Linked DNA regions of Drosophila melanogaster. The protein of the gene in region 1 interacts with the protein of each later gene in a pairwise test. Each region holds a gene or a part of one and is shown on either strand. Other genes may lie near its edges.

Region 1 (6,158 bases):
TGCATATGGTTTGTGCTCGAAGCGTAGAAGGTCTAGGATATATTCGATATTCTGATGCTCAATAACACTATAAAGTAAACCTGAAGCTCTATGTCTAGGCAAAGCTTGGACGTAACTGGATGGCTGCTCGGGACTGCCTATCACTCCTCACTTTGGAGTTCCCGGAGGTGCGTTGGCCAAGCCGAAGAGCTCTTCGTATGAAGGTGCTAAAAAAATAGATACAAGAGATAGATACAATTGTAATGTAGAATATCCCAACTTACGCAGCTCATGGGCTCCAGGCGCCTGGCGAGGCTGCAGGAACGATGCTGAGGCCGAGGTGGATGGCAGTTGGCTATAGGCCGGAGCTCCTCCTGCTGCTGCACCGCCTGTTGGCGGGGCGGCGACCACTCCGGCCGGCGGTGGTGTGAGGGCAAGGAGCGAGTATTGCGGCGACTCCGGCGGCGGGTAGGCGGGCAGATGGGGTGGCGGATACGACTGCACCATAAGGGGACTGGACGAATAGGGCATGTAGGGCACATTGGAGCTGCGCAAGCTGGTCCTGGCAGAGGGACTACCATACTGCGAGGACTGGGAGCCCGAAGTGTAGGACATATCCATGCCACCGGTTCCAGCGCCCACAGCGGGACTCAGAGTGGCCGCCGAGGAGTCCGAGGTTATCGAGTTAATGGAGCTGCACTCGCTAAACTGCGATGAGTGCGAGGGCGAGCCAATGGAAGAGTCCAGTGAGGGATAGACCGGCAGGGCGGGCTCAAACAGATTGCCGGAGCCCAATTCCGGACCAGGTGGTCCATCGTTAGGCCGTGGCGGCGGCGGCGGACGCAGCGAACTCTGCCTATTCGATGGATCCTGCGAGTACACCTTAAAGGGCAAATTAAGGATCAAGTTCTTAAAGAATCCCCGCAGCACCGCCTCCACACGCAGCTCGTATACAATGGTGATGACGCCGCTCATCTGTTCATCCGTCGGCTGGGCTCCATCGGGCAGGAGCAGCTCGTGCGCAAAACTCCGCTCGGTCTTCTTCTGCACCGAGCCCGTCTCCTTGGTGGCCACCGCTATGCACTCCACCTTCTGCACCCGCAGTGGTACATGGCTGTAGTAGGTCACGTACTGCAGGACGGTAAAGCGCAGCTTCTCCACAGCGGTGGTGCTGTTGTTGATCACAGTAGCGCAAATCCTAAGCGGCTCTCCGCGCACCGCAAAATCTTCGGGCAGAAGGGCCAACAGGGTGATCGGTCTAGTGCCAAACAAACTGATCGTCTTGGTCACCTGCTTCTCCAGCGAACTGGGTATGCTGCGTTGCATCGGTTGGAGCGGCATGTTCTTCACCACGGTGAAAGGAATCGTGTGGCGCTCGTCGAAGGTCCATGGTCGCTGGATGAGCACGCGCATCTTGTACTTGATGGCGCCATAGCTGCCCTTGAAACTCGAAGGTAGCTGGCGACCCAGCGCCACCTCGAAGATGAACGTGTGCTCCCCAGCCGAAAGTTCCAGGCCACGCGGCTCAAAATCCGGCAGAGGCGTCTCGCTATGCTCGTACACCTCTTTGCTGGTGTAGAACAGACTGCGGGAGTACTCGTTGTTGTTCGAGTTCTTGCGCAGGATCTCCATCCATTTGCATTTTCCCTTGCCGGTGACCTGCACCTTGATGGCTGAAATTAAAGTTAAGCTTATATTAAACAAACTTATTTAATTACAAATTCAAACGTCTTAAAATTTAAATTAGCTAAGTTTTTATCCATGCTAGCGTTGCCAGCCATTTCACTTAGCGAGTGCAACCACCACAGCAGCAGAGTTGCCAAGTCTCGATATTAGCGATAGTAGTGTGATTGCATTTTCTTTACATTTTTCAGACGCCGTATGGTATTATAAGCGTTAGCAAAGACGGGCCTATTAATATTTTCACGTACTTTTCACATTTTGGCAGAAATTCAATCAGGAAATCCTTTTGTTAATGCCTGCTATACTCATAACAAGACCATTAATTGTGTAGCGTTTAAGGAAAACCGAAAGAGTGAGCTGCTTCACTTGCCCCGAGTGACTGGAAATCTAATTTGCGTTTATTTTGACGCAAAACCGGTGCCGACATTTTCTCGCCCAATTAAATTGAGTGTGGATTTTGCCGCATCCCGTTCCCTTTGCCCTTTAAAAAACCTTGATCTTTAAATGTTGTAAAGCAAAGTGGTGCGCGCTGCCAAGATGAACTTCGATTACATCGGCCAGGCCCTGGGCTACCACGGGCAGCCGCTCCAGAAGATCTGGGACGACGAGCGCGGCGTGGACGACCTGCGGCTGATGGGACTCACCCAGGTGAACTACGGGGTCTACCAGGAGCGGCAGAAGTACTTCACCTTCCAGGAGCGGGCTAAGCGATTGAAGATGCACCAGTTTCTGGCCAGGAAGGCCACCGATTTGTATGATCGCACGCTGGTGGCCAATGTTATGGAGGATTCCCTGCTGGCACAAGGTGGGTTTAGGGTCTATGAGTTTGAGTGGTCAATGGATAACTCCAGTGCTATGTTCTTTGCAGGCAACACATACATGACTCAGATGGCCCCCTTCGAGTTCTTCCTCAATGTGAAGGACAAACGCAAGGGATGGGCGCACCGATTGTCTGCACTGAAGCAGGGCGACATCATCTACACGCAGGTGACACGGCTGGCCAGCGGCAACCGGCTCATAGTGAAGCCACTCTGCACTGCTGAGCCCAAACACGCCTACTTGGCTGACATTCCCATAAAGGTAACAGCCAAGACCTTTATTTGCGTCATATTTCGCATACTAATCATATCTATTCTACGTCGTAGGCCGTGATCCTGCAGGACTTCTGGGGTCCCTTGCCCCTGGACAAGCAGGGCAATCCGCGCAGCTTTGTCCAGAATGACATCTTGCGCTGTGAGATAAACAACATATCCGCGGATACCGAGCGGCTCTCTCTGAACATGATCGGCATGTTCAATAAGGTGCCGGATTTAAAGTTTGGTCTCTGCGACTTTAAGGAGTTGCCCAAGTATTATAGGTAAAGCATCGTTTTTAAGGCATATTTTCAATCGTGTTTAACGAATGCTTCTTCTGTAGTAAAATACATAACCTGGATCATCCATCTGCGTCTCACTACGAGGATGAGCTAAACAAAGCCTTAGAGTTTGAAAATCCCAACTACGATTTGCTGTTCCAAATGAACGGACTGCAGCCAAACGAGAATCTGTCACTGATGTCATATTTAAGGGCGGGATTCCCGGAGGAGGAGAACGCCGCGGAGTTGCGACAGAAGCAGGCCTCCCAGTGGGCCTTCCGGTAAGTCTATATACTGACCTTAAGCCTTGAGAGTGTTTGTCATTCCATCATTCGCACACCCTATCGCACCCAACACCCAACTTCATTGATTGGCCGCTGATCAGCTCCGTGGCTGATGGCATCGAACACTTTAAGAACGGCCAACAGGTCGAGGCCTTTCAGTGCCTGAACAAGGCCTTAAACATTGATCCGCGCAATGTTGAGGCGCTGGTGGCCCGCGGTGCCCTCTACGCGAATCGCGGCAGCTTTCTTAAAGGGCTGCAGGACTTTGAGAAGGCTCTGCACCTGAACAAGTATCACGTGAACGCGCGCAAATACATGGGCGAAACGCTGGTGGCTCTGGGTCGCAGCTACGAAGAGGAGAATCGCATAGCCGAAGCCGTCAAGGCCTATAGCGATTGCCTAAATCTGTTGCCGCTGCACGAAGAAGCACGCCAGTCCCTGGACGCACTGCATCGAAGTGGAGACGGTAAGCGTAGAATAAGCACTGAGCCGTCGAACATGACCGGTGGCCAGTCCTCGGACGAGTCCTCCTCATCGAGTGCCAGTGATAGTGAATGCGAAGATTCGGGTGAGTACATGTGGTGGGGTCAGTGCATGGGGGCTTTGCTAGCTAGCTAGCTAAGCACTGATCCACCGTTTATTATTCCCTCATGAACACTATTCAAACCGATAACTCATTTCCAATTTTAGCTGGTAAGCCCAAGTCAAACATTAGTCAGCCCTTTTATGCCCAACACAAGCTAAAGCAATCGGGAGATGAAAAGTTGGCCGTCATTGATGCCCATAAGGCCAATGAGTTCCGTTTGGACGACGACGAGACCGTGTCGAGTGTGCGGAAGCTTTTGCGCGAGGCGAGCAAACACAAGAAGGCCAAGAAGAAGGGAAAGAAGAAAAAGGACAAGAAGGAGCGAAGGAGGTCCAGGACCAAGTCCGAAACGGAGGATCCCATTGAATTGCTTAAGAAGATCGACTTCCAGGAGGCCCTCAGGTGAGTTTTGCAGCTAAAGAGGCTTATTGCACAATAAGTATACATTTTCTTGAGATTCTCCCTGCCTAACCAACTGGGATAGACAAGACAACAAGTATGTACCAGGAATTATTTAGCTTGACTTCCGAACTGCAATTGCATCCTAAACGATGTTCCTTCAAATCTGGGATGAACAATGCGGTTTTGTTGTCAATGCTGTTGAATATTTTACAATACGCAGTTAATGCCACAGTTTGTGTTTCTTTTAGGCTCATGAACAGCACCAGGAGCGATGAGGAACGCAAGGCCAAGATCAAGAGCTATCTAAAAGAAGGAGGAAAAGAGTCACCACCTCCCCCGCCACCAATGAAAAAAACAGCAGTCTCATCTAGAAAGTCAAGCTTTGACAATGTGGGACCCAGCACATCGCGTCATGCGGCCTCCGTTGTTGGCTTTGGAGGCGCCCAGCCACCACCAGCGCCCAAGTTTCTGGGGCAAAAGAAACATCCGGAGCCGGCACCCAAGCTCTCCTTTCAGATTAAGAAACGACCGCTGCAGATGGACAAGCTGGGAATGCTGCGTCTAGCAGCGCCAGCGGAGCCACTCAAGGGAGGACGGAGCAGCAGCTCCCGCAGCCGGAGTAGGAGTAGAAGCCGCTCGCGAAGTCGCTCACGTAATCGTCGGCTTGGAAGGAGCACGCGTTCGTCGCTCAGGAGCCGGCGTTCTGGCTCGAGGTCCAGATCGATTAGCCGATCACGGTCGCGTCGCCGACGTACCTACTCCCGTTCGCGCAGCCCCTCGCCACGCAGTTACGGAAATCGCTTTGTGATTGGACGCTACCGTAATCGCCGAACTCGGCGTTCGCGCTCCTTTCATCGTCGGCGTTCTCCATCGCCCATTTTGAAACGCCGATCGCCTTCACCATTTGTGCCCCGTCGCACACCATCGCCGGCATCCCGCTATCGACGCAGCCGATCCCGCAGTCGCTCCCGCTCACGCAGTCGGAGTCCTCGACGCTTTCAGTCTCGCTACATGCCGAGGGATCGTGGCTCCGTGAATCGAAGCAGGTACTCCTGGCACAATCCCCATAAACGCAGTGTATCACGCACCGTGGAGCCAAATGGCAAAGATGAAAGGGCAGCTACTCCGCCGAAAAAGGGTGTTGCTGATGATAGATCTGGACGAGAAGAAAGGGCGTAAACAGGGCCTCGCCTACGAGTCTTAAGTTTCCTTTTAGCTGATAGGGTACATTTGATTTGATATTCAAATTTGTAAAACGCTCCCTTTGGGAATTGTTCATTGGTCACTAAATAAAGAAGCTTGCGAAGCGAATTTATTACAAACTATAACAATCAATCGATTATTGGTTCTTTTCAGACAACACGTAGCGTAAAGTAAAATCAGGAAATTGTCGGTATTTAAAATTTGAATATAGCGTACAAACATATAAAAATGTAAGTATATGAATCGCATATCTATGCAAAATTAATCAATGTTAGGATAAGTACTTCAAAACTAAACACAATAGTTTGTCATTTTTGTATTTCAGATATCAGATTCTGATTTTGCACATGGAATGAACTGAAAGTCCAACGCGTAGTGAGAGTGTAAGAGAGCCCCAATAGAGAGCGCAATATCCCGGAGAGTGTATCCCCCGCCGTGCCCCTTATCAACACTTCACGCTGCACTTTCGCAGTGAGAGACGGAGAGTAAGAGAAAAAGTGGTTAAAGAGGGGACGAACACCCGGCTGTTAGTGTTAGTTGGGGCTCCTAAGAGAGAGCTAAAGCGAGAGAGACAAGTCTGGAAGCTAAACAACAAGCACCAAGCAAACACGAAAGATAACGACTTGTTTCATTTGATATTCGCCAGCCGGCAGAAGCGGAACAAACA
Region 2 (2,963 bases), on another chromosome or scaffold:
CGTTGGTAATACTTGAGACACCCTTTATCCTTTATCGGGACTTTGGCCATAATATCGGATATGAGGTCATCGATCGCCGTAATGCGTTCCCTAATTTTATTTTCCAATTGCAAGCGACGTTCGTCGTAGTTTTTAAATTCAGCTTTGACCTTCATTTTGTCTTCCAATCTTCTCGACTTGCTAGTTTTCTCAAGTTTGCCAATCCACTGAGAGAATTCGGGATTGCTAAGAGCTTGCAGTTTATATTTCTCCACAAGTCCCTTTAGTCGAATTGTGGCTTCGTCATTAAGCTGGCCAATTGTAGTGCCAAGTACTGCATAAATATTGCTTAAATGAGTGTCTGTCTTGGGATATCTGTACAAATGTACTATGTACTTACTGTAGCCAATATTTGCCAATAGGCATATTGCCATAAACTTCATATTGGCGGTTCGAAATGCTAACTGAAGTGAATAGCTAAAATGGGAAAGTCTACAAAGGGCAAAGCAAATCGATGGATATGCACATGCATATTAAGCATATTAAATAGATTAAGCTTAAATACTTAAGCCATGCAAAGCAACTGCGGTTAAAAAAACCTTATCACACAAATTCAAACAAATATTCAACAGGCTTGCCCATAATTAATTAAGCTTGAATTATTCCAAAGTATTTCAATCAAAAGCGATATTTTATTTGATTTGGTTAAACATATTTATCATAAGTAGTCAACAAAGTAAGGGTCACCAAGCCTGCCGTCATCCAATCCATGAGGGCATCTTACACTATTTTGGTAGAGAACCTGTTGTTTTCTTTCATTGGAGGACTTGTAGGCACTTTCAAGTTCAGCTTCCTGATTAAGGTAGAATCGAAGACATCTCTTGCTTGCGTTTCTTATGGCAATTATGGATCTGATCGTTATCAAGCGCTCAGTAATTTGATCCTCAAGTCTTTGCCGATGCTTATTGTAGTGATTGAATTCATCGGCAACGGTGTTTACCCTTTCTATCCACTGGTAGAACTCGGGGTTTCCGGTGGATAGGTATTTGTACTTGTTTGAAATATTATGAAGCCTCCACGTCGCCAGCCTGTCCATTTCTGCTAAGGATTCACTTAGAACTGTGGAATATATTGTAATTTCCTGTCATATTAGAGGCTGATATCTCAATCTGGATCTGCAATGAACTCACCAAAGCCCAGATTCGCCAATACTAAGAGTGCTATTATCTTCATTCCGCTAACCAACAAATGCATCTGATACGGATATTTTAAATATTGTTAATTTATAAACCTAAAATAATATATAAAGGAGTGTAGAAAACCCATTCGTCAAGCTTTGCGATTGACTTTTTACACTCTTAAAAAAAAAATGTGCAACAAATGCTAGGTAAACAAGACTTGAAGCCATATGCATTTTTAAACCAATTCGATACAAACATGTCATATTAATGCTCGCTTAATAACTTATAGATATAAGCCTCATTTTCAGTAATACCCATGGAAATAGACTTGTGTACTCGGAAAAACTGACTGCCACCAGTTTTCGTCGGAAATAATGGGGTTGGTGACATGTGGTCCATGTGCTGTTGCTGCTACTTTTAAGGGCGTCCGTCGGCTGCCGGGAAAACTTAATCCTTAAACATCCGACGCCAAAAACCAGTGCGGTTTTAAATTAAACAATATAACAAGCTCTAGTCCAGTTCCTCGACTATCTAGAGGACTAGATACCCATTTGCCAGTTGGTCGGAGTGCGAACAAGAATTTTCAACCATTTTTTGGTATATTGGCAGAGTAGGTGTTCGATAAAGGTTAACCAAAAGCGACCTTTTATTTGATTTCATTGGACAATTTTATGATCAATAGCCTAGATAGTAATCATAATCATATCCTTGTATCTCCGGTGGTGCAGAGCATTCCCTCATATTTCTCATATACACCTCTTCTTTTCTCTTATTTGAGAACTTGTAGGCATTCTTAAGTTCATTTTCCTGATGCTGGCTAGGGATTAGGGATCTGAGCGTGTTCAAGCGCTGAGTAATGTTATCTTCAAGCAATTGGCGTTGCTTATCGTATATTTTGAAGTAACCTTCTGTGTCCAAGCTTTAAGGCAGCAACGTTGTTTACTTTTTCAATCCACCGGGAGAACTCCGCGTTTCCGGTGGCTAAGTATTTATACTTGTTTACAATATTTCGAAGTCTCCACGTCGCCAGCCTGTCGTGTTCTTCATATTCCCTACTACTTAGGGCTGTGAAATGTATTGTAATTTCCTGTCATATTAGAGGCTGATATCTGAATCTGGGGCTGCAATGAACTAACCACAGCTCAGATTCGCTAATACTAAGAGGGATATTTTCTTCATTCCGCTAACCAGCAATGTCTACTGATACGGTTATTTAAAATATTATTTATTTATAGAGCTAAAATAACAAATAAAAAAGTGTTGCCATTCGGCAATCTGATAATTGTATGCAGTTGACTTTTTACATTCTTAAAAGAAATGTGTGCGCATTCCGCGCACATTAAGGACTTAATATATATAAATAGAAATAAAATATATGAATAATGTAGAAAATAACTAAGTTAAATAATGAAGTACAAATAAAGAATAATTATATTAATGAGTAAATAAGTAGTAAAGCGAAGCAATTGAAATTTAAATATTTGAGAGCGCCCGCCCGCAAGCACTGGCGGCTGGTCACACTGTTCCGAGTAGGCTGGGCACGCTAATCCAGGCAAATGCCACGCAGCCGACGGGCACACTAACCCAGCAGGTGCTTTTACGAAGTGGGCGACTGCCGGGTTATTAAGCAAGGCACTTCACAGCTCGGTTAATAGATCACGTCGTCTCTCTTTCGCTTTTAGCGCACCTTAAACGGGTTCCCAAGTGATCTCTCACTCTCTCTCTCTCTCTCTCACTCTCTCTTGTCGCTGATCTTAAAACGGTTTTCCAAGTAATCTTTCTCTCTTGTGAAGCACCTTCAAC

What was found.
Region 2: the proteins of CG6621 (region 1) and CG31680 interact in a two-hybrid assay, tested with the Drosophila melanogaster proteins (one large-scale study listed by BioGRID).

What each region holds. Positions count from the first base shown.
Region 1 is NT_033777.3:10,889,224-10,895,381, reverse strand, and holds CG6621 (uncharacterized protein), read left to right. Parts: upstream 1-1,850; 5' UTR 1,851-2,199; coding exon 2,200-2,467; intron 2,468-2,530; coding exon 2,531-2,742; intron 2,743-2,807; coding exon 2,808-3,019; intron 3,020-3,078; coding exon 3,079-3,297; intron 3,298-3,401; coding exon 3,402-3,868; intron 3,869-3,990; coding exon 3,991-4,288; intron 4,289-4,370; coding exon 4,371-4,382; intron 4,383-4,536; coding exon 4,537-5,467; 3' UTR 5,468-5,614; downstream 5,615-6,158. Other genes in the region: leash, read right to left, coding at 148-206, 264-1,652.
Region 2 is NT_033779.5:20,638,399-20,641,361, reverse strand, and holds CG31680 (uncharacterized protein), read right to left. Parts: upstream 1,242-2,963; 5' UTR 1,213-1,241; coding exon 1,170-1,212; intron 1,099-1,169; coding exon 698-1,098; 3' UTR 644-697; downstream 1-643. Other genes in the region: Sfp38D (seminal fluid protein 38D), read right to left, coding at 1-313, 380-422.